Linked DNA regions of Drosophila melanogaster. The protein of the gene in region 1 purifies or fractionates together with the protein of each later gene. This does not show direct contact. Each region holds a gene or a part of one and is shown on either strand. Other genes may lie near its edges. The genes, in order: CG15445 and achi.

What was found.
Region 2: the proteins of CG15445 (region 1) and achi purify together in Drosophila melanogaster (affinity purification with mass spectrometry, with the first as the bait; 2 studies listed by BioGRID). This does not show direct contact.

What each region holds. Positions count from the first base shown.
Region 1 is NC_004354.4:21,110,467-21,127,113, reverse strand, and holds CG15445 (uncharacterized protein), read right to left. Parts: upstream 9,954-16,647; 5' UTR 9,710-9,953; exon of another isoform or gene 9,652-9,709; 5' UTR 9,619-9,651; coding exon 9,499-9,618; intron 8,799-9,498; coding exon 8,343-8,798; intron 8,253-8,342; coding exon 7,452-8,252; exon of another isoform or gene 7,367-7,451; intron 7,336-7,366; coding exon 6,856-7,335; 3' UTR 6,670-6,855; downstream 1-6,669. Other genes in the region: unc (uncoordinated), read left to right, coding at 10,771-11,080, 11,374-11,658, 11,774-13,338, 13,446-14,083, 14,147-14,443, 14,506-15,571; stg1 (stargazin-like protein), read right to left, coding at 15,991-16,646.
Region 2 is NT_033778.4:12,508,766-12,525,412, forward strand, and holds achi (achintya), read right to left. Parts: upstream 6,298-16,647; 5' UTR 6,011-6,297; intron 5,634-6,010; exon of another isoform or gene 5,579-5,633; intron 5,497-5,578; 5' UTR 5,480-5,496; coding exon 5,365-5,479; intron 5,297-5,364; coding exon 4,803-5,296; intron 4,744-4,802; coding exon 4,595-4,743; intron 4,495-4,594; coding exon 4,108-4,494; intron 4,019-4,107; coding exon 3,917-4,018; intron 3,858-3,916; coding exon 3,736-3,857; intron 3,670-3,735; coding exon 3,490-3,669; intron 3,425-3,489; coding exon 3,306-3,424; 3' UTR 2,769-3,305; downstream 1-2,768. Other genes in the region: vis (vismay), read right to left, coding at 1-68, 128-229, 319-705, 806-954, 1,101-1,501, 1,560-1,674; CG13151 (uncharacterized protein), read left to right, coding at 6,679-8,493; CG8818 (uncharacterized protein), read right to left, coding at 8,639-8,823, 8,876-9,009, 9,072-10,042; CG8569 (uncharacterized protein), read left to right, coding at 10,468-10,582, 10,648-11,705, 11,766-12,419.

The DNA.
Region 1 (16,647 bases):
ATGGTTTTGTGTAATGCATTTTGCTTGGATGATTATCCCACTTAAATTGTACATGGAATCTTTCAGTAGCTACCCCCCTTCACAAACGCCCTTTATGTTCCGCGACAGCTGATTAAATCGCGTGTTTCCAAGCGTTTTAAATCGCACGCGTTTTGCCGAGTTTATAGTGCAGTTTATGCAACATTTCATATCTCGGTACTTTAACTGCAATCCATCTCATAAATGCATTTACCGCTTTTTTATTTCTTTTTTCACTTATTTTCAGTTTTCCTTGCGTTCATTGTACAATATTTATGCCAATTTGATTTGATTTACCCTTTTCTGTGCTCTTTAACTGCATTCCAGCTCATTAGTACATTAATTCAATATTAATTGGTATTCTTTTTCAGGAATCAATCAACTATTCGATTGTATAAAACCACAATGGGTTTTTAACTTTAACTTTTGACTATGGTGATTTATAAGAGATTCTATATATTGTTAAATTCTAATTAAGCGTGCAGTGTAAGACTGGATGTACTTTTAACTTCCGCTTGGGAATACGAATGTCTTACTGTTACAAAATATAAGTTAACCGTATTTCCGATTTAATAGCTTAACTTTGTATTAGAAACCGCATTAGTTGCTCTCCGACTTACAAAAACGCGATCGCCAGCACTGAAGCGTTCAAAAACGCACACGTTTTCCTGTTTATACTTCTGAATATTGATTTTCGATTTTTGAGCCAACTTCAACTTGAATCACATCCAGTCGACCGATCGACCAACCGATCAGCATGAGTCGGCAAGAACCGGAGCAGACTTGGCTATAATTATATGCCCAATCAGATGTAGATTCTGCCGCATGCTCGTATTTTATTTATAAAACCCATTCGGCTGGCCATAGGAAACGCTGCTCACTTTTTATTTATTTATTTATAAGTTGTTGCTTTTTGATTTTTGCTTTTAGCCCGATCAGCAGCCAGCAAGGTCGCTGCTTACATGTGCAAAAACTTGCAATGCAATTAAGTCTTGATAAATAACCAGTCTGATAATAACACTCAGTGCCTCTGGTGGCGGAATGCTAAAAGATTTTATGTTAATGCCGTCGATAATCGCGAGACGCTCAGGAAACGGAAGACGAATCCAGAATGCCAACTAAGCTATGGGCCAACTCACTACTCCTCCTACTATCCTGCTCGAAAATATCCCTAATTTGAATGGCATTTCAAATCTGTTCCTCTTTTCCGCATACCCAGCTAAAACAAGAGAGAATTCTGTAGTCGAATTCCCCCACTATCAGATACCCGTTACTCAGCTCGTAAAGTGAAAGATTGAAAGTGGAATATCGGTAGAAATTGCGGGGAAAAAAGTTAATAGAAATAACATTTTTTAAAAGTGTGGGCGTTGCAGTTTGGAGCGGTATTAAGCGGGCGGTCGAGTGGGCGTGACACTGGAATTCTCAACACTCTAGCTTCAATAGATCCTGAGATCGACAGACAGATCAGGCATATACATACATACATATGTACATATATACCGTATAAGGTCGGAAACGCTTCCTTCTGCCTGTTACATACTTTTCAACGAACCTTATATACCCATTTACTCCACGAGTAATGGGTAGCAAGAGGAATGCTTGGTCAATTATATTTATCACAAATAAATAATGCATTTCTGCTCTCTCTCTTGACAGTAAGAATGCTTCAGACCCTTAACTGTTTACCTCGCAAGTCAAAAATTATATAAGACTACATACATCGGCAAGAGACTTTTCAATAAGAATAAGATTGTACTATACTATACCATATAGAACAAGAGGTATCCTTTGAAAATACCAGAGTTTTTTTGAAATTATCATTCATCACATTTCCAAAGATACTACCAATATATGTATGTACATATGTACATATATCCAAGTGCATCTGAGATGCTTACACACCTGCAGTTAGTTCTTCGCCCCCTCGTGGTTCATATGGCGAATTGTTAAAAATCTCTCACGTTGAAGTTTTGTAACTTTTAAACTTTAGATGCGATAGCCGGAAAAAACCATGACGGATACCCTCCAGGGAAAATGTCCGTACAACACTCCGTGATAATTACTTGGCTATGCACATTACAGATCTCATGGATTAGCAAAGCGCACCGCCTTAAGTTGAAATGGTTGAGATTTTAATAGAGCTCAAATTTGGCTGTTTTTCAATAGGAAAGGTGGAACAAATATAATTCCTAAGCTACCAAAATGAATTGCAACGAGCAATTAATAAATGTTTTTTTAATATAAATGTTTCCAATTGAAATGTTTTGAATTTTTACTGCAAGTGGTGAACTTATTTGCGTAGGATCTACAAACAACTTCTTATAATTTAGGGTATTTACGCCTCCTTTTGTTTGCCTTTTCCTATGCGTTTTCGCTTTCATCGCTTGTTGCTGTTGTTGCTCTCGCCACCTCCTTTTGTGCTGCCAATTTGGCTTTAACTACATACATAAATCTACAGCTTTTGTGGTTGTGTTAAATACTGTTTTTCGAATGGATAATTTGTCCAGCGCTTTTGTTTTGCTCCGCACTTCTTGTTTTGTCCAGCCCTTTTTGAGACGCACTCAAAACAACAGCGCCGAAAAACGTGCAGAGAAACCTCAAAAACCAGAAACGTCAGATACCGACCAGAAACTCGAACCAACACTGAGAGAAGCGACTTGGTCCTTGTCATACTTATTCATCCAAAAAGCTATTGCTCATACATACAAAAAGTTGAATGTACTTAGTTAAATATTTCGACATTGCACTTCCATTTCAATTTACTAATAAACATAATCAATAATAACATAATTATCGATTTTTTCTTTTCAATTTTTAAAATAGTGGTGGGCCATTGTTTTCAGTGCACCGAAATTGAAAGTGACCGCGATTGAAAACAGCTGTTGCTGCTTTGATTTAGCAAGTACCCAAATAAATATAACTACGTACCTATTTAGGAAGCTGGTAAAAACAGCTGAGAAAACTAAAATTACTAACCCCGCTAAACAAGTTGCTGCTGCTGCTGCTGCTGCTGCTGGTTCTTCTTCGTTAGTGTTTCTTTGTTATTATTATTTTTTTTTGATTTTAAGGTTTTTCGGTCACTGCAACTGTTTACTGCACACGTCTTTTTATATGTATATTTTCTTTTCGAGTTTTACTCTTCACTTCGAGTGTTGTCTTTGGGTGTTGCCTCCCGCTCGCACAGTTCGCACAGTTAAAAAATAAGAATGTTTCGGTAGTTTGCTTCAGTTTTCGTTACTACTTGGCCTTTGGTTACAGTGTATAGAGTGCTGCCTGAAACGTCCGCCAACAAAGCTGGCCGCAATTGAACTGAGCTTGACTAAACGCGCTTACGGAAAATTATTTAATTCCGCTGCCAGTTTGCCGCCGATGCCGACGTTGAAGAAAAAAAAAACGATCGTCGACGTCGATCGCCAACTTCCAACTTCGTTGTTGTTGCGTGTGGGCGGCAACAAGTTGCTCCCGGCCATCGCACCGGCAACATGTTGCCAGCTCGGAGCATGGGCGCACACAAGGGACGTGATCTGAGGAACAAAATGTTCCTTTCTTCATTCCATTCTTCCAGTTAAAAGGTGAAATTAAGTGAAACTTTATTTAGTATTTGCTGAACGTAATGTTTGAATTCAAATAATAATTCTAAGATTGAAATAAAGCCAAATGAAGAATATTCTTTAATGGAATGTTTGTATTCGTAGAAAGTCGCTGATTATTGTTCCTATAGATACCTTTTAATTTACCTTGGATTCCTCATATCTTTTGATCTACTTACACCCAACATGCTTCGATTTGTAGGCCATAAGAGTTCGCGTAATGTTTGAATAACAATGGGATTTTTGGTAATACACCCATGCTTCTTCTAACTGTTCTTTTGTTTCCCAGTTGAGTGTGCGTGACACGCAGCAGAAAGCAAAGCTGGTTTTAATTAGCCTGTATTTTCGGGAAGTACTAATTGCAGCCCTGGCCCATCGCACAACTGTACTTATATCCAATGAAATGCCAAAACTATATAGGAAACCCTTCCCGAAACACTGAATCCACGAATTAGTGCCACTTTTGAGACCCAGTCGGCCGTGTAAAGAGGGCTATAACGCTCGTACTTTGTACCTGGATTGCGCTAATGGATCGGAACCCAAGAATGATATAAACACGAGAATGAGTTGACACATCTAACGATCCCCGGATGAAGTTACAGATTCTGTTAAGGTCAAAATAGATATATATAAACCTAACCTTCAAATCTCTTTGAAAAATACATATGAATAGTCAGTTCCCGACTTGTCAAATAAATATTAATTGATTTTGAAGTGAAATCGAATAAGTGTTAGTTTTGCAATTCACCATGAAATAATTTTAATAAATTAATTTTTAATTTAATGTGTATTTGGTTTAAGTGTTTGGTATGTTAAATGTTAATGCAATTAAATTAGATAATCAGGGGTATTACCCATGCTTGTACAAAATGACGGGCAAAACAGGTGTAAATCAAATATAAATATTTTTTAGTAAGTATGTAAGGTAAAGTAAATTGCACTAAGAATTTCTCAAAACAGGAAATTTAATCAATTTGCGACTAACAATGAAGCAAATCCGCCGGAGTCAGTGCGTCTGAACCGGTTTAATCACAGAATGCAAATCGCAGCGATTCCTCCATTGGAAATTGGACACCGGGTGACAAGTGGAAATTCCTGAAAGAGAGTGCATACAACTGTCAAGTGCTTTCGAATTCAAATTCGCCATGTCGCCGTCCAGAAGCCCGTGTCCCCGCTCCACCCCCGGAATTAGGCCAACCAGAACCATTCTCATTCTGAGTCGGTTCTCCATGTCCATGTCCACGGGCCCAGACCACGCTCAAATGTTCAAATGTCCAACAGATTCGCTTGGCTGCGTATCAGTTGCGCGTAATGTCCAAAGTCATTATGGCAAAAATCGCAAAAAGACTAAACGTTAAAAATGCTGAAATTAAAACTATATATACGAATTATGAAATTGTTTATCGGAATAAAGCGAAGCGAGCAACTAAAACGGCCAACTAGCGATGACAATATAGAAACTGGGAACTAAAGTGGCAAAAAGTTAAGCTAAAGTAATTATAATTTAAAAACAAGCTCGAGACAAAAGAGCACACGTCAGTAATCCATAGTGTAATTCTCTAGATACAATTACAAGATTAGAAACGTATTTATGAAACATTTAAATACTTCAGATAGGCATTGTTTTGGAGTTTAAATTTTTTATAAGCTTAAATCATTTCGGGTTCAGTGGATTTGGGTTCACTCAGGTCTTAATCATTTCATAGGCCAAAATCGCATCAACGTATAAGGTGGAATTATATATACTATATACATACTACAGACTATATGCCGTGTAATATATATATATTTTTTTTTTTTTGCAAATCTTACAAGACACGGACATGTCGCTCAAGAGTATACTTTAGTTCTATAATCTTATTAGTAGAACCTCAAAAATGTATTAATTATATTTTGCCCTCGTTTTTAAAAACCGTTCGCAAATTACAATAGGTGCAATTTACAGTCTCCTTGAAATCATTCCGGGTTCAGTGATGGGGTTCATTCACTGCCGATTTCCATTAAGCCCAAGCCATTATTATAAACTGCTCCGGAATAAGTGTACGTGGATGCCTAGTGGCTTGAGTCAGCTACTGGCTTCCACGTGCTACCTTAACACCCGACATTCACTCCCACTTGAGGCACGCATGCGACCGCCTTCACTTGGAGAAGGGTTGTTGGGGGTAAATGGGGGTTCCAAGTGGTGCTGGCTCTTTCCAATAGGTGAATGACTGATTGCCAATCGAGAATCGTGAACTATCTATTGGCAATTTAACCATTCTACTTCGATTTGGATTCTTGCTTTAATATAATTTTTTCAGATATAAAGTTTTGTTTCTTCAAATTATATTTTTATGTATATATCACGTGTCTTAGCTTAGCACTATAAAATAAACACAAGTATAGCCACAGACTGTACGATATAGGACATTTTCAGATATTTGAAGAGTATGATAACTACCAAATTCATTTTCCTATCACACCTAATTTCATGAGAGCAAATACTTTTACGGAAAAAAAAATCCAGTTGCTAAATTTTTCATTTCGCCCAACAAGGATGTAAAAACACATGTTTGCAACACATTTGCCGCAGGATACTTTAATCCTATGGCACCGTGCCAATTTGTACAAGACAACATTTTACATACTATTCACTCTGCGAGTAACGTGTATAAATAGAAAATTACTATTTTACACATATGTATGTACATACATATAGAAAACCAATTAGTTGACTTATAATATTTAGTCTTGGTGCTACTTGAATAAATAAATAAATTCTTTGCTAAGCAAAGCAAATACTTACAGCAAATCGTGTAAGTTCCGCTCAATTCGTCGACGGGATGAGCTTAGTGAGCGGCGCCCTTTGGCCTCGACAAGGTCACGACTGAACCCAATCAAGCGCCGCCGTCCGAGCCGGGGTCGAGAGTCAAGCGACAAAAAAAAAAACAAACGATAAAAAAAAAATAAGCAATGACCAGAGGCGCTAACAAGTTTCAGGTGGCTCCAAAAGGTGAATTCTCCCGCTGGCTCGGCGCAATCACATTTTGCAGTTGTCAATAGAAGGCATGTACTTATAAATCTCTATATTTTACTATTTGCCTAGTTGGACAAACAGCAGCCGGGAGGGGAGCTGAATGCCACTTAAGTGCCATTATAAGACTACGATTTGCAATATAGACAAGTCATGATTACAGTTATCTTGACAACCGGTTTCGGGTTTCTATATTTTTTTGTATAGATATAAAAAAGGCAAGTCAAATACAAGCTACTGCTGCAGCATATTGAAATACTCAGTCAGGATCTTCTCCTCCTGGATAAGTGGCAAGTCCAGGTATTCCAGGTCGCTCAGTTTGAGGTCGGAGTTAAAGCGCTCGTAGGCCTTGTACGTTTCAATCTCGACGCGAGCATGATTGATAACAGCTTCGATAATGGGCGCTGGCAAAGCAACTTGCGTCTGCCCGGAGGCGTTCGAAGTAGAGGGGCCGTCAAGATTTTGCCCACCATTTTCGGCCAAACGCCCAACGTGCTTTAAAATCGCTTTCAGCTCCTCCTCGCTCTCTATGGCGCACATCAGACTCTCGATGGCCTCTTCCATGTTATTTGATGCATTCTGTAGGGCCACGCGCGAGTCGTTCTCGTTGAATCCCAGTTGCAGAAGCTGAGCCAGTTTGGTCGTGTCTACGGTGACCGGAAACCATGGCGAAGCACCAGTAAGTTCGTCCGATTCTGTCTGCAGCAGTTCCACCTAAGAAAAAAATATTTCTATTATTTTATAGTTTACAAACACGTGACATCCATGAGATTATAGTTAAAACATACTGATCAATTCATGTCATTGAATATATTCTTGGCCACACTTACCGCTTGGAGGATATCATTATTAGAGCGCTGCAAGGCGATAGTGGCCAGTCCGCTCTCGAATCCCATGTCAGCAAGGCTGCAGACACTGCGGGGATTCACCCAGGTGCAATCTTTGGAATTGGAGCGCTTCAGGCGGCGCTCCATAGCACGCTCGGACGCTTTATATTTCATGCGTGCATTCTTGAGCTGCTGACGACGCTCGTGAATAAACTGAACAGCCTGTTCGACGGCGGTGCCGCCCTTGCAGGAGCGCAGGGCCATACGAGCCTCGGAGGGCTCGAAGCCCATATCGACCAGGAGAGCCAGTTGGTCGTTGTTGATCTTTAGTTCATTTAGCAGAGTTTTAGCCGCTTCGAAGCACTCAAATGCCTGATTGCGAAGATTCTGGTGGAAGAAGATCACGCCCTGGAGCAACTTAAGCCGCATAATTAAAGCCCTCTCGGGACAGTCCTTGCCCTTCAAGGAGTACAGCCTCTCCAAATTGTCGCCATAGCTGATGCCGAAATTGCGACTGCAGCGGGCCAAGCGATGCTCAGCATCCGGGAGCTGGGTAACGTTCTTCAGGCAAAAATAGCACCACACTATGTCGAGGTTCAGCAAAGCATAGTTATCCACGGACTCTAGAAACTTTGAGCCACAGGTAGAAAAATGCTCGTCGGCCTCCAAAAGCAGGAGCAGAGCCTCCTCAAAATGCTTGCGATTCATGGCCGCACGGGCCTTCTCACAGAATCCCAAACCCATGAGCAGGGCTTTATGCTCGGAAGGCGGCAAATACACTTGGCTGCCATTCTGATCCTCCATCTGGGCATGACACGAAAATACAAACAAGTGGTGTGATTTAAAAAACCTTCTAAACAACAACCTAAGCAACTTTCCTTCCGATTTACTCACCTCTATTAGGTTATTCTTCGAGGACACCACCGCCTCCACATCGGCCTTGATGCGATTGATCCTTTCGTACAGGGCTTCGCCAGAATTATCCCCATCGCCCACAATGACAATCAACTGCTGGTTGTTCTTCAACTGCTGGTCGGCCAAAGTGGCATTGGCGGACACCACTTTGCCGGCAGCGATGCACTTGACGTGCGCAGCATTCGGCACTTCCAGTTTCTTCGCTATGCATGCCTGGAGTTCGGAGCCCACGATGTCCAAGCTGCACTTCACTTCCACCATTGTGGCACCGCTGTGCTCGCCAACGCGGCGAACCTTCAACGTGGCAATTCCTGTGGTGCTGAACTCACGTCGGGCGGCCAGCGTACGGAGAGCATTTTCCTGCAGCTCGGTCAAAAAGAACTTGCAGCGACCTATATCGATGCCCAACATGCCGGAGTACTTCTGCGCCAGGTTCTTTAATGAAATGGATACACATCTTATTATAGAATAAAATATTATATATTATATTAATCCAAAGCTACTGAGTTCCTGAGTATGAATGCTGGTAATGTGCTATTCTTTTGACTACTATTGGTCTTACTTTATTTTTAAAATCCCTCAACCTCTATTTATTGAAAAATAAATAATAATTCAAGAAAGCAATCACATTTTCACACGCCAACAAATCTATCGGTTTAAAATCTTATTTTTATTCTAGGCGTTATAAATAAGTCGAAGCGAAACAGATCAAAAACCTATATAAGGAAACTAAATAATATCTTTGTCGTTACTCTTGTAATTCAGAATTATTAAAGTATAATAGGAATTTAAAAGATTCGTTTGTGCAATGTCATGTTGTTTTTTTTTTAAGTATTTTTAATTGGACAATAATATCATATGATCAAACTAATCAAACTAAAATAAGTGTTAATAATATGAACTTAGCTGAAGGTGTATATAAGTTACGGCTTGTCGAAACTAGCTTCTTACTTCTTCAAATGTGAAAAGAACTAACAAATAAATATATAATATATATATATATATATATATATAATATATGCATTTTGAATATAATATTTCTATATTGCCAACCGTATTTCAGGCATTCTTGTCATTTCCCCGACCACTGACTGGAAGGCATTTAGGTGTGGGGTGGTGGGCATATAGTACGTACTTCTAGTGCTCCCTCGATGCTACCAAGATCTTCGGAGTAGTAGGGCTCCTCCCACAGCTTCTCGCCATCGGACTGGAGAAGGGCGCGGATCTGGATGAGTAGGTTGTCGTTTTGTGACATTTTCGACGATGACTTGGCAAAAATTGTGGCGAACTGGCTGAAACTGACGCGTCACAAAGGATCGGGCATGCTCTAGATATTTACTATTTACGAGTGATGTGATGTTCTGGTTCTTCTTCTTCCTTGCACATGTGTTTCTACACGAAACAACAAAGAACGATGCGCAGTCGTTGATAATCGCGGGGTTGGGTGCAGTGGAGTAGACTTTAATTTTGGGCGGGTGACAAATAAGAACTATTTACGGAAATTTATTTAATGTGAACTGTGCTGCGTCTTCGTATGGGATAAGCTCTGCCTGGTGGAATCACCGCAATTGGGTCTTTTTTGTCGTTTGACACAACAACTGCAACTCGATAGCTATCGGCTCTTGCAGCACTCGGCCATCTGTCAGCCACAGCGAAACGCTTGCAAAAGCTGACTGACATGAACGTTCTGCCCGTTAATAGTCAAAGTCTTCAAATTTGGTTTTTTATAAAAACGCATTGGCAAACACAGCTGTGCTTGTTGATTTATATTATATTATTTCTATACCATTTAACGCAAGAAACTCATATTTCAGTTTCACCGTCAGTACGGCTGATGCACTTACTACTTAGCAATCAGCTGTTTTGCGGACAATTATCTATCGATAGTCAACTGCCAACTTTAAAGCGGAACTGTTTTGAATTAAAATTCAAAATATTATTATTGTGAAAAATACACCAAATACACGCTTCCACAAGAAGTATTGCTGTTTTAATATGGGCTCGGCAGTAAATACTGCCGCCGTTATAAGTATTAGTGAGCAATTACTTATGATAAATAAGCTTTTGCTTAGAATACCATTTCATAGAACTCAGTTGTCATATATTTCACTTAATTTTTAGAGCACGCTTCACATAGGCAACACAGCTGACGCCTTTAGGAGGACCAACCCCCGACGATCGAGTTGACCTCCTCCCCAATTTCACTCAGTTCCCAGGTGGCAGGGCAGGCTCCGTCGCACCTGTCACATTTCGCTGTTGGTGGTGAGTGTCTTGCGCTCGTGCTCGTTTTACCTGGAAAGTTCAGTTACTCAAACGCGGCGCATGTAAGCGGCGGTCAGAGGTTCTATCCGAGCATACGCAGACCAACTCTCGATCCCATCCGAGCCTCGAGTTCCTTCAGGACGGCATGAAGGTTCGCCACGTGCCGGCGAGCACGACAACGTTATCGTTCAGGGCGAAGCAGCGGGATGTGGGCGGCATCGGCATGCCTTGCGAGCGGGAGCGGAAGCACGAGGCCGCAAAGCGGGAGCGGGAGGAGCAGATTAAGCAGGAGCGGGCCACAGCGGCGTCGGCGACACAGCGGGTGCGCCAGCATAATCGAAGGATCAGCACCGACGGCGATCCCGCCAGGCGGAGAATGACGCAGTCCAGGGAGCGACTCCAAGCAACCGGACTGGGCAGACCAGGACCGTGCGGACCATCAAATATAACTAGAGGTGGGCCTATTATTTTTATAATAATATTAATATTTTTATTATTATTATTATAAGTATTATTATTATTATAACTATTATTATTATTATTATAATAATTATTTTTATTATTAATATTATTATTATAACTATTTTTATTATTATTATTATAACTCTAAGAAACCAGCAATCTTTATACTCCGACGTACACAAATTTGTTCGAAAAATAATCTTTTCAAATTAAAATATTCAGTACAATAAACCTTTACGAACTTAATAGCGATTCATATTCACTGATAATCCCATTTTGTGTTCAGTAACGCGGGGATCATCATTGCCCCCGGAGGTTGGAGCACACGGATACCGCACAGGAAGGCCTACCAGAAAGCACGTACCTATTCCTCAGGATCAGATTGAGGAGCAGGATGACTCCGATGCCAGGGCGGAACGGCTGAGGCAACAGCTCGAGGAACTGGCCGCGATGTCGGAGCAGGAGTTCGAGGTGAAGTTCCGCCAGTGGCTGGACCAGGAGGGGATTGCCCGGGAGATGCACTCTCACCTGCGGGTGGAGCTCATTCACTGCTTCAATAATACGGCACTCGGTGGGTTTGCTAATCAAACTAATGAAAGATATTTTACTATTTGGCATCTCAAAGTTTATTGAAAACCCCCTTTTTAATTTATTAATCGATCTAACCATAAATGTACCCGTTCCAGGCCAGCTCTTGAGCAAGGCTGCTGGTGTGCAGATGGCTCAGTCCCACGCACTGCTCGTCTCGCCACTGGCGATGGTGCTGCACACTCTGGTGGCGGAGTTTCTGCACTCCCAGAACTGCCACTTCACACTGTCGGTCTTCTGCAGCGAGACGCCGCATCGCAGCAACCTGCCGGACTTCCGGAGTCGGCCGGAGTTCCGATTCCAGACGGAGGAACTGCAGAAGGTCGTGGCCGCCATACTGGGAGAAAAAGAAGCTCTAGCGGATTCGGAATTTGGAAAGCTGGCGGAGGCCCACTACGAGGAGGATCTGGCTGGACAAACGCAGTGCTTGCTGATGGCTCTTATGCGAACGCTGGTGGAGATCAGGAGGTCCGTGCCTAAGCAGGAGGTGGAACAACCGGTCCCTGTCTCTCTGCAAGACACCGGCTGTCAAACGGAGCCCTCTGCCTGCGTGGAAGCTCGTCCCGAGGTGGACACCACTGGTCTGTATCAGACGGAGGAGCACGAGCTGATTCTGGGCGCAGATGGCCGAAGTGTCTTTGTGGGCGGTCGTGTCTCGCAATCTCTGCATTCCGTGGAGCAGCAGCTTAATCAGCTGATTAAGAATCTCCGCCATTTGGCCAAGTCGTGTGCTCCGCCCGTTGAGGTGATATCATCGACAAAATTCGAGGATCTCCTAATGAAGGAGCTGCGCGAAAGGGAGCGACTTTTGAAAGCTGGTCAAGCATTTAACCCGGGCGAACCGGTGATCAAAATTGCCACCGGGGACAAGGAAGAGGAGCATGAGGTAACCAGTGGCAGGAACCAGAAAGATGTGGTTCACTCCAACCTGGGACCCATTCAAGTGCCAGCCCTGGATGTGACCATTCCTCAGCTGCCCCGTCTCCACAGTGAACAACTGGCCAGCCTGGCCGTGATCCGCCAGTCCCTCGAAAAGGTGCAGAAAAAGAGCCGGCAGCCGCAGGGCCGGATGTACGTCTCCATGGAGCGAATGGAGACCCTGATGGGGGATGTGTGCGGCTGTGTCCAACTACTTAGCAACGTTCTCAATCTCTCCATGGAGCAGGAGCACTCTGTGGGCATGCACAAGGGCTTCAAATGGGGCTACCGCGAGGGTTTTGCCCACGGCCACTTCATGGGCCTGCAGGAGGGTCAGAAACTGGAGCAGTTGGAACAGAAGAAGTGGCAAAAGGAAAGGCCACTGCCCGAGAAGCGGGAAAGCTCCGTGCAAACGGAGAGCACGATACCCACGGCGAGTATAGCCACCCAAACATCGAGAAAGTCAGCTCACAATGAAAGTGTCATCACCCAAACGGAGCAAAAGCAGCTAAAGGACGCTGGGAATCAGGCTAGTTGCGAGCCGCCAACCTTCCAAAAGTCCTACGAACAGTGGATCCACGAGATGCTGCACAGCTCCAGTGGCCAAGTGTTCCTCGAACGGGTGGAGCTCTCCTTGAACAAGGCGCTGGAGCTGCAAAAGGTGCGGCTAAATGAACTCTTCCAGGTGAAGTTGCGACACCAGGCCGAGATGCTTCGTCTAAGCAAGCGGCAGAACTCCTGGCGGGTAAGTCTCTCGAGAATTAAAACAACAATAAGCTGCAGCCATTATATTTATTCTGCAATCGTATTAACTTTAAACCTTTGATTACTAACTTTGTATTCGAATTCCAGACCCTGTGCAAGCGTGTGGAGCGGGACTCGCAATCGTCAGCGGAGGCGCGCGACCTCGTGCAGCAGATCTTCCGGCTGCTGGAGCACTACGAGGCACACCATCAGCAGCTGGCGGAGAAGATCCAACAGACGGAGCTTGCAGCGGAGCAGGCGGCTCGCATCATGCCCATGTGGGCGGATGGAGCTGCTGTGGGCTCCGCTTCTGTCAACTGGAACACGGCGATGTCTACCACGCTCATTTCCAGTGGGATCTGCACTCCGCCTCCGGCTCAGCCTGCCGCTGATGGTGCGCTGAATGTTGGTAAGACCCATGTGGAACAGCACACGTATCCTGACCTGGGATATCCCTATCAATTGTTGGCATTAGCTCCGCCAGGTGGAGTTCCAGTTGCAGGCACCTTCGTGCCAGTGACTCACCTTCCTGCCCACTTGCTTGGGGCTTCTGAACACCCTGTTCCTCTGGTCCCAGTTGCAAGGATCTACAGTGATCCTATGAAAACGTCAAGACGACTGCTTTCTCCGAGTAGCGTTCCTGCAGACAATGACAGTGCTCATCGCGCAGCCGGCGAAACCAATGCTTTCACATTCCAAGGAGGCCCCGTATCTGGGGATCTGCATCCAACTGAAAATAGAAACCAGTGAGTTTTTAAATTTACAAATCGTTTACTCCGTGTTAAGTCATATATGTGGGTTGTTTCTAGAGCTCCTGCTACTCAAGGACAACAGTTTCCTGTTCCTTTACCTGTTCCTGCTCCTCGGGGCCCTTCACCAAGTGTACAGAGTGTTTTGCCCTCCACTGCATCACCGGCACTTCCGCCGCCCGATGAAACGGTACCTCAACCAGGACCTTCCCAATCTTCTATTCCTTTGAAACCGTCAATGCACTCGGTGGCCACCAACACGATAACTCCAGTGCCTCCAAAGGCGACGCCTCTCAAACCGGTAAATAGCAAAGTTTCAGAAGGTCCGAGCTTTGAGGAGGCTCTACTAAGTGCCAAGTAAGTTTGTGAATTTCATGTACTTACGTATAGCATTCCTAAAATAATGTAACTTTCATTAGAAGCCGAATGCTGCAGTTGGAACAGGAGAGCGACCTATTGGAACAAAGTTTCCTCAGCTACCTGGAGAAAACCAAGTCGAAGACATCCCCCCACAAGTCATCGGAGGATGCCGCAAGGGCCCGGAGAATCCGCTCCAGCTGCCTGCGGGAACGAGAGCAGGTGCATCGCACTATGGACGGTTTCCGGGATTGGCATCGACGCGTTCGCAAGGAGGACGCAGCTAGTGTGGCTCAACTGGAGGAGCTGCGCAACCAGCGACTTATACCCGATCCCATCTTGGACTCAAAGGGGTCGTCACCGCTGTGGCTATCGGAACTGGAGGAGGGTCACGAACAGGACAGCTATCCCTTTACGAATGCCATCACCGAAGCTAGGAACAAGGTGCTGGACAAGATAATGCCAGTCAGAAAGGAGGAGAAGAAGGAGAAGCAAAACGTTAAGAAGAATTGGCTAGCAGATTTGCCATTTCAGATTCCTGAGGCATCTCCGAAACAGGATCGCCATCTGACCAATGTTAAGCCCGCTGTAACGCGAAGCAGCAGCAATGGTGAGATGAACGTGCTCCTCCAACGGGCCAAAGATGCCCTCGGCCTGAGAACACCAAACCCACTTCTGGATAGCAGCAGCAGCAGTTCCAGTATGGAGCTGCCCTCCATGGGTGCCGGCAGATCGCCCAGTACAAAGTTCCAGCAATCCATGGCCAGGATGCAGATGCTCTTTGGCGGCGCAGAGGCCGTAAAACCTACAATGCCCGCCAAAACAGGAAGACCTGTGAGTGCACCCACCGCAGCATCGGAACCGGGGTTGTGTGCACATTTGGTGCTCCCGAAACGCCCCCACACGGCTCCCACTCTTCACACAATCAACGAAAATGAACCAGCTGTTCATCATTTGGATGTCTCCACTTCCAGTTCTTCGCAAAGCACTTTGCCCGGGAGATCGTCGGGCGAAGCTTTCGAGGATTTGGTCATGAGCGCCGTGGCGGATGGAGCCCGGCGGCGGAATGCGGAATCTAGCACGGAGGTTTCGTACAGCCAGGCGTTCTGGAAACGCATAAACCTGTAAAAAAAATCTAGAATAGGTGCTTAATATGTTCAAACTGATTAAGTATATATCTATTTAGGTTCCAAAACTCTCTTTATAGAGCAACAAAATAGTAATAATACAATTAATAAAACTCATTGTTTTTTGGCCAAAATTGTGCGCATTTATTAATTTTTAAAGACCTATTTCGAATTTTACTACTCTTTTTTCACTTGTGTATGTATACTTTTGATAGATTTTGTGGGCCTGATTGTGCGCTTAGTTTATCAATTTTTTAAGACCTGCTGGGACCATCTATTATATATATTGTATATAATCATTAAATAGTTTATTTTTGCAATAGACATATACTTATTCTTTTGTCACCTTACTTCCGAAAAAAAATGCTAGCTCTTCGTTTCTTTGGCATTATTGATTACGAGTATGTGGTTGCGGGTATCTTAGACGGCGGTGCCATTGATGAGATCGTAGGGATCCCTCACCTGACCCATTCCAAATAGACTGGCATGGGATCGCCGTCGCTCCCGCTCGATCTCGTCCAGGTCGAATGCATCGCTCACAAAACTGGACCTACGCTGTTGATCGTCGAATGCGTAGCCGCGCTGGAATTTCGGTGGTCCGGAGACCGAAGCCGTTGTCCCAGGTGCTCCACTTCCGGATGTTGGAGCTGGGTAAATGGGCTGCGGATGCTGTTGATAGCCATTCGAGTAGTTCGACGGCGAGGAGGGAATCGCCGTGGGCCACTGCACTTGACTCTTGGGCGCCACCACCTGGGGCAGTGTCAACGTGGAGGACACGAAGCGATTCTGCTGCTGATTCAGCATCAGCTGGGAGAAACGCTGCTGACTGGAGCCCAATGGATAGCCCTGGGAAGCCAGCGAATCGGACGACTGTCGCAGAAAGCAGCGCGGCAAGGTGCGACTCTGGCCGAGATCAGCCGGCTGTGGCAGGGACATTCGCATGCCCGGATAGCCACCCGTTCCGGGGAAGCTGAGATCCGTGTGCAGGGACAGATTCGAGTTCAGTCTGCGCAGCGGCTGTCCCATGGAGTCCACGCACATGGACGTGCGACGCGGCACCACCAATTGGGCATGGTC
Region 2 (16,647 bases), on another chromosome or scaffold:
CCTTAGAACCAGAGGTACCTGGATTATTGCCAGCCGAAGTGCTGACTTCCTCAGTCCCAAATACAGTTCTGGAATTGCAGAGGCCGAGATTACAATATTTTCTTAATACATCCACATAGCTACTTACTTTATAACGCTCTGCCAATCATGGGAGGTCTCGAAGCGTACTTCCTCCTCGCTGTTCGGCCCACAGGACTCGTATCCCTGTGCACTCTCTTCGCCTTCGGACCTGGGGGTAAAAGTAAAATCTTAGCACCGCCAGTCGCACTTGAGTAAGATTTAAGGCTCTGGATCAGTCAATGGGAGCAGAAGCTGTACCTAGGAGACACCACGATTCCGCCGTATGAATCCTTATAGCAGTACATGGTTTCTTGCTTATTCCCAGTCTTCTGCTTTGCTTGCTTGGCATTCTCCCTAGGACTCTTTGCAGCAACCGTCCGCGTTCTTACGCGCTTCGGAGGTCTTGGCTTTTCTTCGTCATCGAACTCTGGCGGCAGCTGGCCAAAAAGGCTGTATGGCAGTATGGATGTGGCAGGACTGGAGTTGGAGCTCGACCCACCAGCACCACCAGAGCCAACCGCCGAACCCCCAATGGCGGCAGCCTTGCGCATCTGATAGTTTTTAATTTTATCGATCATGGTTGCTTGAAGCGAGGAGTGAAGACTTTGAAAGCCCATCGGGTTGTTTGCAATGGCCTGCTGCCAGCTTGGAAGAGGAAAAGGAGTTTGGACGTAGGTGGGATGGGATAGGAGATAGAAGTGACTAACGCTAGGGAAGCAGGTCATAAAGACCGGTTACCAGTTACCTGTAGATGACACTGTCCTCGTACTCCGGCTCCATCTTGACCATTTGTCCGTTGGGGCCCTGCACATACTGTTCAAAGTTGGTCAGCACATTGGCGATGCCCTCGTGAATCTCACCGGCGCCATCCACCTCCTCTGTAGCGCCAACGACCTGGAGTCAAGCAATTTAGTAACTTCAGTGGTATAATGATTGACCAGAAGATAACACACCACTTCGGAAGCAGGACTTCCGTGTGCGGGATTCGGCCCAGTCAAGTTTGCGCCCAACGCACTTGATCTCGAACAGTTGGGGCTAACCTTTTTGCCACGTCGCGATATGGTGAAGTGCAGAGGATCGTTGCCCTCGCGCCTGATCATCTCGGGTAGAATGCGGCGACGGGCATTGATGAACCAGTTGCACACTTGGAGCACCGTCAGATTGGCCTCCTGGGACAGGGTGAACTTCTCCGCATCGCTCGGATAGGCGTTATAGCGGTGCTCATAAAGCCAACGCTTTAAAATCTTTACAGATGACTTGGGCAGATTTCCGCGACGTTTGCGCAGCGACCCATTAATGTCGACGTGGTGTTCACTGTCCACCATCATGTCGTGGTAGTTTTGCACCTGGTTGGCGCCTTGTTCGGTGCTCAGATCATTCCCAACGACGGCGTGAAGGGAATCCTGGTCCAAACTGGAGTCCGAGTGGAAACGGTCACGTCCTGGAGAAAAAAACGGCCATAAACAAGACTGATCTCAACCGGGATATAGGAAACTCACCCTCGTTGTTCAGCAGGCTCGCATGGACATGAGCCTCGTGCATCAGGTCCTTTATGTTCTGCCGTACATGGCGATCCAGGACCATGTTGACCTCCTCTTGTTCCGGCGAGATCATTGCAGCTCAGACTTAAGCTTCAGAAAACAGAAAATTCATTAAAACACAACCAGAATCGGTGTGCAAATATTGAAAGGAAAAGCACAGTAACTTTAATTACAATTTTTGCAAACAGAGAAAATTGACACTTTTTAGTTTCTTTAGGTGTTGTCACCACAGACTTTGAGATTCAACTAACTTTTCCCGAGGGCAGGCAAGTCATTCAGACACCAAAGTCATGGCCAACTAGGGTTCAAAAACAAATTTTTTCAATTGATTTTTAAAAATGGTTCTTTTCAATCGGTCTGCTTGTATCGAACGTATTAAAGTAAGTAATTAAGTACAGGAGAATTTTATAAATATTTAAAATTAATTAAGTTAGGGCCAACTATCGATAACTATCGCACAAACATTGCGCTTGCACACGAGAGACCATGAATATTTAGACAAATTCACTGCGCGCCCAAGTAACGGGCGTCTCGAAATGTACTTTTTACCTTATCCAAAATTTATAAAAATTTTGATTTGTAAAATTTAGACAAGCGCATTTATTTGGTCAAATGTAATATCATTTTGATTTCAGAAGATTTGTATGTTGGAGGTGCGATCGTCACTTGTTATACCCGTTACTCGTAGAGTAAAAAGGTATACTAGATTCGTTATAAAGTATGTAATAGCAGAGGGAAGCTTCTCCGACCATATAAAACACATATATTCTTGATCAGGATCAATACCCGAGTCGACCTGTCCGTCCGTCCGTCTGACTGTCCGTTCGTATGAAGTCAGGAACTATCACAAGTTTGTGGACCTATTTTGCCACGTCCACTCCAACGCTTTCAAACCGTACAAAATGCCACTCCCACACTTTTGAAAAATGAAAACTTTTTGCCACGCCCACTGTAACGCCCTAAAACAGCGCAAAACTCACGCCCTCATTTTTGAAAATTTTTGGATATTTCTTTTTTCCGAATTATCTATCAATACCCCAGAAAAATTATGAAATTTCTTGTTCACATTTTCACATATATGTACCGGGTATCTGATAGCCGGGGAACTCGAATATATCATTCTTTTTTTTTGTTCTATAGCTTTATAGTTAAAAATCGAATCATTTTGTTTTTGCGCCACTCTTTATTATCTGTGGTAACCAAAGTATTCCAATACATTTATAATATTTATAACAAAATTAATTTTGTCCTTCCACAAACGTTCTCATTTTATGTATGTATGTGTACATAATTACTAGATACCTTAAAAAAATGGCTCTATCAGCCAATTAGATAAAACACACCATCATTTTATGGCAATGTGTATTTCAAATGCTTGTTTATGTTTTATTTAAGTATCAGTAGTGTACATGTTAAGTTTAAAAGAGTCAGGTCCAAAACTAAGTCGATTTGTTTGTGAATTGACTTTGTGGAAAAAGGTATTTGGGCGGTCGCATTGCGAATTGATCTATAGCTTTGTACGTTATGTTAGTAACCTACTCAATTAACACAATAACATGGGGGTTATAGACAAATTTTTGGGTCTAGTGCTGTTCGATTAAATTACTTAAGTATATATATATATCTATATATACATATTTGTATATACACGCTTCGGCACTTTGGGAAGTCGGGATCTGTAGCGTGGGTATTTGGTTTGAGGCTCTAGTCTCCCATGTAAACGAAATCGTCATCCTGGACGTCATCGTTTTGGCGCACAGCCATGGCAGTTTCCACTAGATAATAGAGACACTTGTACTTGGCACGCTCATCTGGACTTGTGCCTAAAGCAAGATTATAAAATAATTAAAAATTCAATATAAAGTTGATAAAAATAGGTATAGGTTACCCTGCGACATAGCAGATAATTGACTCTGGCCAGCTTCTGCTTCGGCACCGGTAAACACCTCGTCCGCCTGTAGATTGTCACCAATGTCCTGTTGATTGGAGTTGGTAGGATCGATTGTCTGGATTTCTGAGGCCTGTATTCTATTCAGCTCGCTTTCAAAGTCAGTCAACTGTTGATTCACTTTAGGAGTAAAAGAGTTGGATATTACCAAAGAAACCGAGCTCTAAGTCTGCAAACTTCACTCACCGTCACGCTTCGCAGTCTGATTGCGATTCCAGATGGCGGTATTCTGAACAGATCCCTTAGAACCAGAGGTACCTGGATTATTGCCAGCCGAAGTGCTGACTTCCTCAGTACCAAATACAGTTCTGGAATTGCAGAGGCCGAGATTACAATATTTTCTTAATACATCCACATAGCTACTTACTTTATAACGCTCTGCCAATCATGGGAGGTCTCGAAGCGTACTTCCTCCTCGCTGTTCGGCCCACAGGACTCGTATCCCTGTGCACTCTCTTCGCCTTCGGACCTGGGGGTAAAAGTAAAATCTTAGCACCGCCACTCGCACTTGAGTAAGATTTAAGGCTCTGGATCAGTCAATGGGAGCAGAAGCTGTACCTAGGAGACACCACGATTCCGCCGTATGAATCCTTATAGCAGTACATGGTTTCTTGCTTATTCCCAGTCTTCTGCTTTGCTTGCTTGGCATTCTCCCTAGGACTCTTTGCAGCAACCGTCCGCGTTCTTACGCGCTTCGGAGGTCTTGGCTTTTCTTCGTCATCGAACTCTGGCGGCAGCTGGCCAAAAAGGCTGTATGGCAGTATTGATGTGGCAGGACTGGAGTTGGAGCTCGACCCACCAGCACCACCAGAGCCAACCGCCGAACCCCCAATGGCGGCAGCCTTGCGCATCTGATAGTTTTTAATTTTATCGATCATGGTTGCTTGAAGCGAGGAGTGAAGACTTTGAAAGCCCATCGGGTTGTTTGCAATGGCCTGCTGCCAGCTTGGAAGAGGAAAAGGAGTTTGGACATAGGTGGGATGGGATAGGAGATAGAAGTGACTAACGCTAGGGAAGCAGGTCATAAAGACCGGTTACCAGTTACCTGTAGATGACACTGTCCTCGTACTCCGGCTCCATCTTGACCATTTGTCCGTTGGGGCCCTGCACATACTGTTCAAAGTTGGTCAGCACATTGGCGATGCCCTCGTGAATCTCACCGGCGCCATCCACCTCCTCTGTAGCGCCAACGACCTGGAGTCAAGCAATTTAGTAACTTCAGTGGTATAATGATTGACCAGAAGATAACACACCACTTCGGAAGCAGGACTTCCGTGTGCGGGATTCGGCCCAGTCAAGTTTGCGCCCAACGCACTTGATCTCGAACAGTTGGGGCTAACCTTTTTGCCACGTCGCGATATGGTGAAGTGCAGAGGATCGTTGCCCTCGCGCCTGATCATCTCCGGTAGAATGCGGCGACGGGCATTGATGAACCAGTTGCACACTTGGAGCACCGTCAGATTGGCCTCCTGGGACAGGGTGAACTTCTCCGCATCGCTCGGATAGGCGTTATAGCGGTGCTCATAAAGCCAACGCTTTAAAATCTTTACAGAGGTCTTGGGAAGATTTCCACGACGTTTGCGCAGCGACCCATTTATGTCGATGTGGTGTTCACTGTCCACCATCATGTCGTGGTAGTTTTGCACCTGGTTGGCGCCGTGTTCGGTGCTCTGATCCTCCTCCACGATGACGTCAGCGTGAAGAGAATCCTGGTCCAAACTTGAGTCCGAGTGGAAACGGCCGCGTCCTGCAGATGACATGCAAAAAAAACGGGCATGAACAAGACCGAACTCGACCGAAATATAGCAAACTCACCTTCGTTCTCCAGCAGGCTCGCCTGGACATGAGCCTCGTGCATCATGTCCTGGATATTCTGCCGTACATGGCGATCCAGGACCATGTTGACCTCTTCTTGTTCCGGCGAGATCATTGCAGCTCAGACTTAAGCTTCAGAAAACAGAAAATTCATTAAAACACAACCAGAAACGGTATGCAAATATTGAAAGGAAAAGAACAGAACTTTAATTACAATTTTTTTTTTTTTACAAACAGAGAAACCTGTCACTTTTTAGTTTCTTTAGGTGTTGTCACCACAGACTTTGAGATTCAACTAACTTTTTCTGAGGGCAGGCGTCATTCAGACACCAAAGTCATGGCCAACTAAGGTTCAAATACGCATTTCAAATCGATTTTTGATTTCTTTCCAATCGGTCTACTTGCTAAATCGATTAATTTCCAAGGAACTATACATTAAACGAACGTATTACAGTAGTGAATTAAGTAAAGAAGAAATTTAAAAATATTTAAAACAAATTAAGTTGGGGCTATCTATCGATAACTATCGCACTGGCACACGAGAGACCATGACATATAACATGTCAAATTGACACTTTAACCAAAATATTTTGACAAATTCACTGCGCGCCCAAATAACGGGCGTCTTGAGCTCCCGGGGATTCACCTGCGATGTCCGAATGGGTGCCACTATCATTTATTTACACTAAACACTGGTTTTCCCAGTGTTTCAGCCAGGCCCCGGTTACTGCACTCAGCAAACTGTAGTGACGGGGCAGTCGTCACAACCGTAGTATCGAGGCCAATTAGACAAACTCTTTTTGCAGACAACGTAAATATAGTAACGAACGTTGGGGAAAGCTATTTTGGCACTGGTTTTAAAGCGTTTTATTCCTTTTCCTTGCTGCGTGCCAAACAACAAATTAGTGGCGAAAGAAATCCGATAGCCGCTTATGTGCGATAAATCATGGATGGGGGTCCACTGGGGAGTTAGTTCAGTTGGCAGGTTCATTTGAAATTTGAACAGTGGCGCCAAGAATAAATACAAGTTTTGTTAAGTATAATTTGTTTAAGAATTATAAACATACACTAGTTATCTCTACGCTGGAAATTAAATCTACATTTAAAATAAATAAGTTATATTTAGAATGTACATAATTTTTTCTAAATAGAACAAACTATTTTTTTTATAAGTTTTCAACCTTTCAAGCTTAAGATTTATGTTTTAAATGTCTTTTTCGATAACTATATAAATTATCGATATGTATAGACGTTACTGTCCTAACCTATCGACGACTGAAAAGGTTTGTTTTGTTGCAAGTTTATAAACAAACAATGGAATGCGTGCTGGACGAGGAGCTGCTGGCCAATATTAAATGTAGCGACCAGGAGGAAGAAGACGAGGATGGTGAAAAGATGGAGGTGGAGGAGCGGCTGCCGCCGGTCGATTCCACAGTCCAAAGTGCCTCCTTTAACGGAGATGACTCCGATCCGCTACAGGAAGCAGTATGCAATTTTCCCTGGATTTTCGAGGACAGCGACATGCTGATGAACGAGGACCAACTGGCTGACGTGGTGCTGAAGAAGGAGGATTCCGCCAGGCCAGCTGCCCCGAAGCGAGGACGTGGTCGTCCACCAAATAATAACGGAAACTACACATCTCCTTGTGGGCAGCTATGGAGCGTGACCAGGAGCCCAGATATTTCTGCAGAGGATCTACCCCTTTTGGGGCAACAGGCCTGTGGCAAGGGACCCGCCCGAACAGTGTCCAATGCAGTGGAAGCATGGATGCTGCTCTTCGATGATGAAATGCTGCGGTCTTTACTTCGCCATATCAATGAACAGATGCGTAAGCGGAGAACGGCCACAAGTGTCCAGAGACCCCTAGACGTTGTGGAGCTGCGGGCATTCTTGGGTCTAAGCTACCTTTGTGGAGTGTTCCGAAATGCCAGGCACAATGGGCCATTGGATGAGCTGTGGACCCTGGAGCTGGGCAATGCCATATTCCGAGCATCCATGTCGCTCGCTCGATTCGAAAGCATTTCCGAGTGTCTGGCGGGAAATTGCGGCTGGTCCGAGGGCCAAAAGCTCTGGCAGCGCCTTATAATCAATTGCAGATCCTACTACGGCTGCAGCAGTTGGTTGACCGTGGATGAGACATTCTGCGCGGTGGCCAAGTCACGGATGACCCTCTGCTGTGATGCCAGGACACTGTACATGGCCAATGCAGTGGTAAGCAGAAACCAGAGATGTCCGGACAAGGATGTAGAACAACTGATCTGCGATTTCAAGACCACGGGAAGAAATGTAACGCTGGGATCACGGTATCTAAACTTGACGCAGTGCGAGCAGTTGGCGCAGCGGCAAATAAGCTCGTTGGGTAAGCTGGAGGCCAATTCGCCACATTGGCCGCGGCAGTGGCCCACAGAATCACCCTTGTTTGGTGGCAGCTCAAAACTCATTCCGCTCGATGGCGACGCAGTCTTCTGCTGCGGTCTTAGCTCCCAAGTAGATGCAGTCCAGGCATATGAGCAAACCTCAGAAGCCTGTCAGCAGTTTTACGAACACTCCCAGCGCTTCAGCACAGCCCACGCTACGCCCGCACCCTTGAAAAAGCAGATCAATCCTTTTCTGCAACTACTTCACTTTGTGCTCAACGCGGCTGCCGTGAATGCATGGATCCTGTTACGACTTTCGCCCAAAGGCGATGCCGCTATGGATCAGCGCGACTTCCAGAGACAGTTGGGACTCTTCCTCACACAGCAGAGATTACAGCGACGCCTTCAGCGAAGATCCACCAGCACTTCGCTCGTGATGCGACTGCAAATCTGCGAAATCCTGGGCCAATCCAGTCAGCGGCTGCTCAGTGAGGCGACCGGCGAGGCGAAACTAACGCACAGCGTAGGCGTGCTAACACCCGACAAGATGAGCCTGCCCTTGGGCATTAATTTGGCTAGTCGGTACGGAGAGAAGCATCGCAGGTGCAAGCCCTGCGCTCGAAATAAGCGTGGCACTAAATCGCGGACGCGGTGCCAACAGTGCTTGCAACATCGATGCGGCAACCACTTGATATCCCGCTGCTACGAATGCGTCGGCATTTTGCCTGGCCAACTGCCCGAGGGCAACATGGTGGATGAAGGAGCCACCTGAAGATGGATATTAAATAACATTTATTGAAGAGACACTACATTCCTTGTGGGGGCTTGCAATATGGGGATGCTTGCAATATTGCTCAATGGTGCAAACACTTGTGCTGTAACTACGATGACAACGGCTTAACGATGGAAACTGGGGACTAGAACTTGTACTGGAAGGACTTGGGTGCCTTGTACTTGCTGGCCATTCCCGAAGAGTCCACAGGATCGCTCTGGTCGAGGAACAGACTGAGGAACTGTTCGTTCTGCAGCTCATTTAGCGGCATCTCTAATTCACTGCAGGATTTGACAATCTCAGCGCAGGCTCGCAGATCCTTGCGCATATCTAAAAACGAAACGGGAGTTACATAATATTCGGTTGTGTTGCACAGACTCACATTGATAGTTAAAGAGCAAGCTGAGGCAGCTGGAGCAGGCCAAACGCTGCTGGTGCTGCAAGAACGCCTCGATTAGCCGATGCACCGCATCAACATTGTTACGGGCCAGAAATGAAGAGCACAAAGAACTGGCTCTGCAAGGAAGGTTACATTGGGATTCAAATTTCGGGTTTTTAAAGAAATTAAAGCGACTTACCTCCTCTCCACTAGCTCTTGCAGCTCCTTGTAGTGCTCAAACAGTTCCGAAGCCGATTTTTGATCGCAAAACCAATCGCTAGCGAAGCATTGCTTCCACACACAGGCCACCACAAAGATGTCCTTGTGCTCGCGGTGAATGGCACGCGCTACCTCCAGCAGCGACACTAGCACCGCCTCACTCTTCTGGGCCAGAGTCTCCTCGGAAATGGTGCGGAATGCGGAGCGCGCCATCCGCCTGCCCTCCTCCGAAGTCATGCTTACCCCGTAACCGCGATGTAGCGTCATCAGGGCCACGTCGGCGTTACCATTGTTCCACAGGGCGATGGCGCGGAAGGGCGCCAGATCCGCGTAGGTCTGTGAGAACGGGTGCTCCAGCTGCCGACAGGTCTCCGCCAGTGCCTCCAACTGCTGGAGCTTGCGCTGCGCGCTCAAATACTTTAGACAGGACACGAAGACCTCGTTGGAGGGCAACAGGTTGCAGCGGATGCACTGACGTATCAGGTAGAGAAAGTCCAGCTTGTTCTTGATCTCCAACGTGGCCATCAGCAGGTTGTCCAGCTGCGCCTGCGACAGGGATCTGATATCCAGTCCCAGTTGGGGGGAGCGCAGCGCCTTCAGATCACTCATCATGCCCTTGGACATAAGACCCACGTTCTGGCTAAAGCTGGTACTACCAGCCTTTCGCTGCGTTCCCACATTGCAATTGGCGTCCGCCTCCAGATTTCCGGACGATGGCCTCTTTATCAGGCTATCGCGCAGCTCCTCCCACTTTTGGGTCTTTCTGGTCACCAAGTCGTTGGTGAAACAGTCCATGGGATCGAGATGTGTGGACTTCCGACGTTGCCGCTGCGTTCCCGGCCACAAGAAGGCCGAGATGTAGTTTTGGAAACGCTGCAGGCCCTTGGGTGAACCGGGTGCTCCGGCCACCGTGGTGGTGCCGCTGCTGGTCAATCGCGTCAGCATGGCCATGACTTGGGGTCACCTCCGCGTCCTCCGCTCTTCTAGACACGCCTCCTTTGCCCCGTTTTTGTCTCGGATTGTATAAGTTGTGTATATTTTTTGTTTTCAACAGTGTTACCGTCGCTGATCCGTGTGAAAATGCCATCGAGGAATACCATTATTACGAATCATAGCAAGTTGTTACTGAAATAAACTCAGATACTTTGTTTCACAAATGTTTAAAAATGGAATGCTGCATATAATTACAAACTTACTTTTAAGTAGAGTCATTTAAAAATCCATAAATTTGTATGTAAATTTAAAGTTACCCCTACGTGGCAGCTCCTGTTGCCTATAGTTGGCAACGCGAGTTCACCCAATCCAGCAGTCCGGCAACGCTTCCAGTTAGCCAAAAATTGATTTCATTTGCAAGAAAACTTTAAAACGCAAATGAAATGGCCAGCGATATTCCACCTTCAGCCATCCGTATTTGGATGGACAAGCTGAAAAAGGGCGTTGGGCAGCCGGCGACAGTCCTAGAGCGTTCCCTGCTCAATTTAATGAGTGCAGGTAAGTGAACCATTGAATGTCCAATCCATAACGTTTGTCTCAAACATCTAAAAATCCAACTTCAGAAGCAGCCAGTTTATCGGTGAAAAATGCCACGGAGCGAGGCATACTGGTGGCCAGAGCAGGCGGCGGACGGTCCAAGCGTCTGGCCCTCGCCTTTTGTCAAAAAGTAAGCCGGCTGCCCAGCTCACCAATTGATCCGTTCTGCTTCGAGTGCCATTTGCCCGGAGCCGTTAAGAAATGCATATCCTGCCATCGCTCCTTCCACGAGAATTGCCAGCGACAGGACCCGGAGAAGCCCAATTATTCAGTGCCCTCGGACAAGGGCCAACCTTACCAGTTTCCCGTCAACGAATTGGACAATCAGCCCCTGAATAACACTCAGAACTTGGAGACTCCCCAAACGCCAACGCCCCTGCTCGATCATAATAGCAACATCAATCAGACTTTGCTAGCCACTACGGATTTCCTGAAGCACGAGAACATCGAGTGGGACGACGACGTCTTCTTTGTGTGCGAACAAAAGGGCGCGCGCCAGCGAAAGCTGCCCAGGATCAAGGACGAACTACAAAGCAGTTTGGATAGCGATGAGGGAAGCGATCTGGAGCGCTGCACCCACTGCCGTTTGCTCGCCCTGGCCGCTCTCCACAACCCACCGCAACTCGACAAGCAAGAGCTGGGCTGCCTATTGAAGTACTCCTGGGACCAGCATCACTCCTGGATCTCCATGGATGTGGCCAAGTACATGGCCAAGCATTGGAACGAACGCGACAAGGCGCTGGTTAAGCGGCTACTCTTCAAGACAAAGATTTTGGGTCTGGGCGACATCGAGCGCAACATAGCGGCGGCGAAGTATACGTACCTAACAGAATTCCTAATGGATCTGCTCGATCTGCAGCACAACATGGCCGTGTTCTTTGGGCAAAAGAGCGTTGAGTACAATGCCACCAAGTGGCTGATGAGAGATGTGACGCACGACATTCGCGAAATCCGTCGTTGCCCCGACTGCTATAGGTATTCCAACGAGGCCAGCCTGTCGGATCTCTGGTTCGCCAAGCCATGTCTTCAGCGGCACGAGTTGGTATTTGCCAAGCAGGTGGGCTCACCACCGTGGCCTGCAAAGGTACGTACGATATTATCATTACTATGTAATATATACACATAAATATAATTTCTTTACCAGGTGATGAGCGTCTCCAAGCGTCAGCCCATCAAGTACGACGTCCGCTTCTTCGGTGGCACTCATTCCCGGGCCCTCATCTCAGAACGTGATATTACACCCATCGAGTCGGACATTCAGTCGCATATCAAACCACGGAACTCCCGAGCTCTGAGCGCTGCGATAAAAGAACTGCAGTGTCACATGATGTTGTCCCACTATTCCGCCTCGCTATTCGGCTTCCATGCAGATCCCACCGTTGCCGAGAATCTCATTAAGGTGGCTCTATCCCACTGCACGGAGTCAACGGAAACGAGTGCGTCCGGCAAACGAGGACGCCCGCCGACTCCAGCCACTCCCGGCGCTGCAAAGAATCGACGGCTTAATAACACCACTTCGAATACCTCATCGCCGGTGCCCATTCGTGGGATTCCTGACTCCGTAGCATATGATAGTCTAACCGCCGAAATACTGCAGGCGCATAACGATCTGCTAAATTGCCGAAGAGAGCTCTCGGCCACGCAAAGGAAGCTGGCCGAAGTGAAAAGGAAGCAATGGTGCTACCATTGCCTGGATGAGGCCGTTTTTAACTGCTGCTTTACTGCGTCCTACTGCAGCGTTGAATGCCAGCGACGTGATAAGAGACGCCACCAAGCATCCTGCAAAGTTACTCATTAAATTAGGACTACAGACGAAATTGGAAACTATGTCCAAAGTGATAACATCTCGTTTGTTACCATCCTTTTGTATCAAATGTATCCGTTCTTAAGATATGCATCAATATTTTCAGAAGATAAAGAATGTTAAACTTGTATTAATGAAAAATATTATCAATGAGATATTTGAAAATGGCGCCTTTTCCGTTCTTATGATGGGCAGCACTGTTTCCGCTAGGTGTCGCCACCTGATCATATTAATCCATATTCATATTACGTTTATAAAAAATCAGAAAAAACGTACAATACTTTAAAAGTGTGGGCGTGGAACTTACTTGTACTTGTTACTAACAATATAAAAACTTGTTTCCTACCAAAAAATATATACATATTTTATAAGAATGGGTATTATTTCGTGCCAGCTGTATTCATAATAATAAACACAAATTATTGTTCATCCACAATATTTTCGTGGCATACTTAAATAATTACAATTGAAACACATGGAAAACTTTAATGACAGTTTCTTTCTCGATAAAACCAATCGATTTTGAATAGTATCTCATTAAATTCATGGTTTTTAACTGCTCTAATTTTAAATGGTTTTATTCGATTTATCAATATTTAAACCATGAGCAAGATCTGTTTTCCCGCAGTCGTCTTGCACAGCCATACTTATAAAAAAGGTTCCCAATTTATCTATTTAAAAAAGTGCGCAAGAAACATATACCAAATAAGCGAATCACTAAAGTGAATAGTTAAGTTTATACCTTAAAAAGGAAACAAGAAAGCAAGTCAAAAGTATTATTATTTTAAAAAGAATCGAAGGCCTTTGTACTGTGTATAACTAAAAGGAAATAATGGCAATCAAGCTGAAATTGTGCGTCGCTTTTCAGTTGATTTGTATTTATTATCTCACAGAGGTAACGAATTATTATAACTGAAATGTCATATTTTAAAAGCTTCTTTTAGGTTTATTCCCTAGTGGAATTTACAAACGTACAGTGCGAGACCTTGGATAAGGACTTTTCCCTATTTGAATATTGCTATCTTTAATCTGTGAACCGATCTTACAAATATGTTTCCCTCAAAGTTAAACTACTAAAGATACCCGTAACCAAAATTAAGGTATAATTTAGTAAACTTATATTTATACCTAAGCGATTATAATAAGTTACTGTTTTTTAATTCAGGTGCAATTTGGTCTCTATAAACGTTTGAATGGCTATAAGCCTTTTCTCTACAATATGACTCTTGACGGGTGCAGATTTCTAAAATCTAGAAATCCCAATCCGATTGCTCTGTATTTTTACAATCTCTTTAAAGATTATTCCAACATAAACCACACCTGTCCTTATAACGTAAGTATACCCGAAGTTGTTAAAGTGAATATTCATATTACATTCATTTCAGCATGATCTTGTGCTGGATGAAATGTCATATCATAGTATAAATTACAAGCTCACCGAAATACTACCCTTTCCGGAGGGAAATTATAAGCTTGAAGTGCATTGGATAGCCTACGATATTGATCGCGCTATAACTACGTTTTATTTCGCATTTTCTTAATAAGAAAAGGCTATCACAAATCAATTAACAAGACATCAAAAAATAAAGTAATTTACAAGACGAGCTTAAGAAATAATGTAAATGTAAAACAAACTTTGTAAAACTGTTAAATTATTAAGCAACAACAAAATAATAGAAAGAGTCCGTCGACTAACACATACCCTATACTCAGCTAGCGGAAGTGCGAGCGAGAAATGAAAACATTTTTCTGGCATATCGATAAAAATTGTAAAAAGCAATAATGCATGATATTGAAAGAACATTTAAAAATTTGACAAAAGTGTGGGCGTTCTAATTTGTATGTGGGCGTGGTGGCGACATCTGGAAACAAACTCTATGTGATCTTTAGTTTCTGAGATCAAGGCTTTCATACGGACAAGGCGAACTCGACTCGGCTAGCAATCCACGAATCCATATACCTGTTACATACTTTGCAACGTATCTAGTATACCCCTTGACTCTACGAGTAACGGGTATAACTACGTAATGTTCATGCTACCATTATGGATAATTACGCTCTGGCAAACGTGTTAATGCCGGCAAACGAAGCTGCAGAGAGGCAAAAAGTTCAGCCGAAAGGTCAAATCGAATTTGCGGTCCGCTTAAAAGGGTTCAATGCATTTTACGAGTGCAAACGAGCATGTGAATGCATCGGATATCAGGCGGTTTGCCTTATGAATGCCGTTAAACGGTTATCCCAAAATAATTGATTTATGCCGGGTTCACGAGACGCTTTTGGGGGGCCAATCCCAATCCCGCAATGGAAATGGCCACAAGCGTTGGCACCTTGCGCTGCCACAGATCGAAATACATGGATATGTAATAAATATTTCACTTAGTGGCGGCTATCTAGCAACAACACACGATTTCGGTACTCGGTACTTGGTATTCTGCTAACCAAAATCGGAAGTCACGTTTAAGCGTTTTCGCTACAAGTTTCACACAGCGGATGATTGATGAGCCAAGTAAGGTACGTATGTATGTGAGCACGGAATCTATGGTCATTAGGGTTTCCTGGTGTCTTATCTTTTCTTTTTGGCTCACTTTAATACACTTTCGCCCTCGAAATAGTAGATATTTCCTGGGAATATTTCACCCTGTCACTTAATTAAGCCAGTATATCCAGAGTCCATAACATTCTCTTCCATTTCGCTTTTCATTTGGAGCAAGTCATTGCTGTTTGCTGGCCAAATGTTTACTCAACATTTTTGGCCTGTGGCTGAGATGTGAAACTCTTGCGTTTCGCAATCAAAATCTCTGTCAATATTTGTGCGAAAAATTTGACAAAGTAAAGCTGACACATTCCAGTGGCAATTAGGAATAATATTCTCTCGATTTGCTGAAAATAAACTTGGCTGTTTTCTTTTCTCCGCTGTCGTTTCCAATTGTGTTTTAATTATGTGCAAACTGCAGCGGAGTTTGCCGGAAAATGCTTGGGCGCCTATTAAAATCTCTAGGACATGACGACGGCATATTTTTCATCAGCTCGTAATCAAATTAGTCGCCTGCTAATTTTAACTACACTAATTTGTCTGCGTCACGAAGGGAGTTCTTCCTTTTCCGCAAAAGTGAAGTTCTTACTGCCTATCTCCCACCTGCCACGTTGTCAAAAGGAACAGGACTCCAAGGAGTTTTGTGACAGGCTGAAGGATTTATTGGCCCGAAGTTGCCTGCCTGCCTACAATCGCCCAAAAAGTGCAGGATCCTCTTAATTAATTTCCTCGCGACAGGCGGACTTACGGCAAAAACATGTGATGAGTTATTTTGGGAAAGTGGGGAAAACTTTGATGGTTAAATGCTTAAAGAACATCTCTCGTTTAGCCGAAAATTTGAAGCTGAAGTGTATTTTATTTACGAGTAATAGCTTACGTTTTTATTAAGTATTGCTTTAGATACATTTTTTTCGATATTTAGTTTTAGTAAAAGCTGTAAGTTGTTTCGAAAAGACTTTTTCCTTAGTTTTTCCCGGCTTTTATTGACCAGCTGCTGCCAGTTTGAAGCTCTGCCACTGCATCCGCTCCTTTTTATCCTTAGCCTTGCCTTGAACTTGACTGACCATTGCCAAGGATATGCTTTCCTGGCCAGACGCCCACCCATCCTGTCCCATCGGCAACAGCTGCTGGGATTTAATTCGGAAAAGGGGCATCCTGCAGCCCAGACAGGCCATGAAATGCATTTTCTGCCGCCAACATGTTGAAAATGCTGTCGCTTGTACAATTTTTGGCATGCGACAAATATTTCCCACCATAAGGGGGAGCCAGAACTTTAATTTATGGCCACCGACAAGTGCAACTGCACGCCCCAACGACAACAATGAGCGATGAGCAGCATGCAACATGCAGCATGCAGCACACGAGGTATAAAACTGCACAAAACGAGCAGATTTGCATTTTACCAGCCTAGCCAGCCAAATGCAAGTTAATGAGTCTATTATGGGCGCCCAGGAGACGGATGGATGCCCATTGAGAGTTGTGATGAAATTTGTGCGTAATTAAGATGTGTCACTTAGCCACTCGGGAATTAAGTCACAAATCTGGTCACAAAGTGTCGGGAATTATGCTGATTTTATGTTTCCTTTTCCCAAATATGCGTCATTTGGAATTGGTAGGGGGGCACGGTCTTACATAACCGCATCGAACTTTTTAAATGACTCGCAATCCGGGTGAGTGGCCCCACATTGC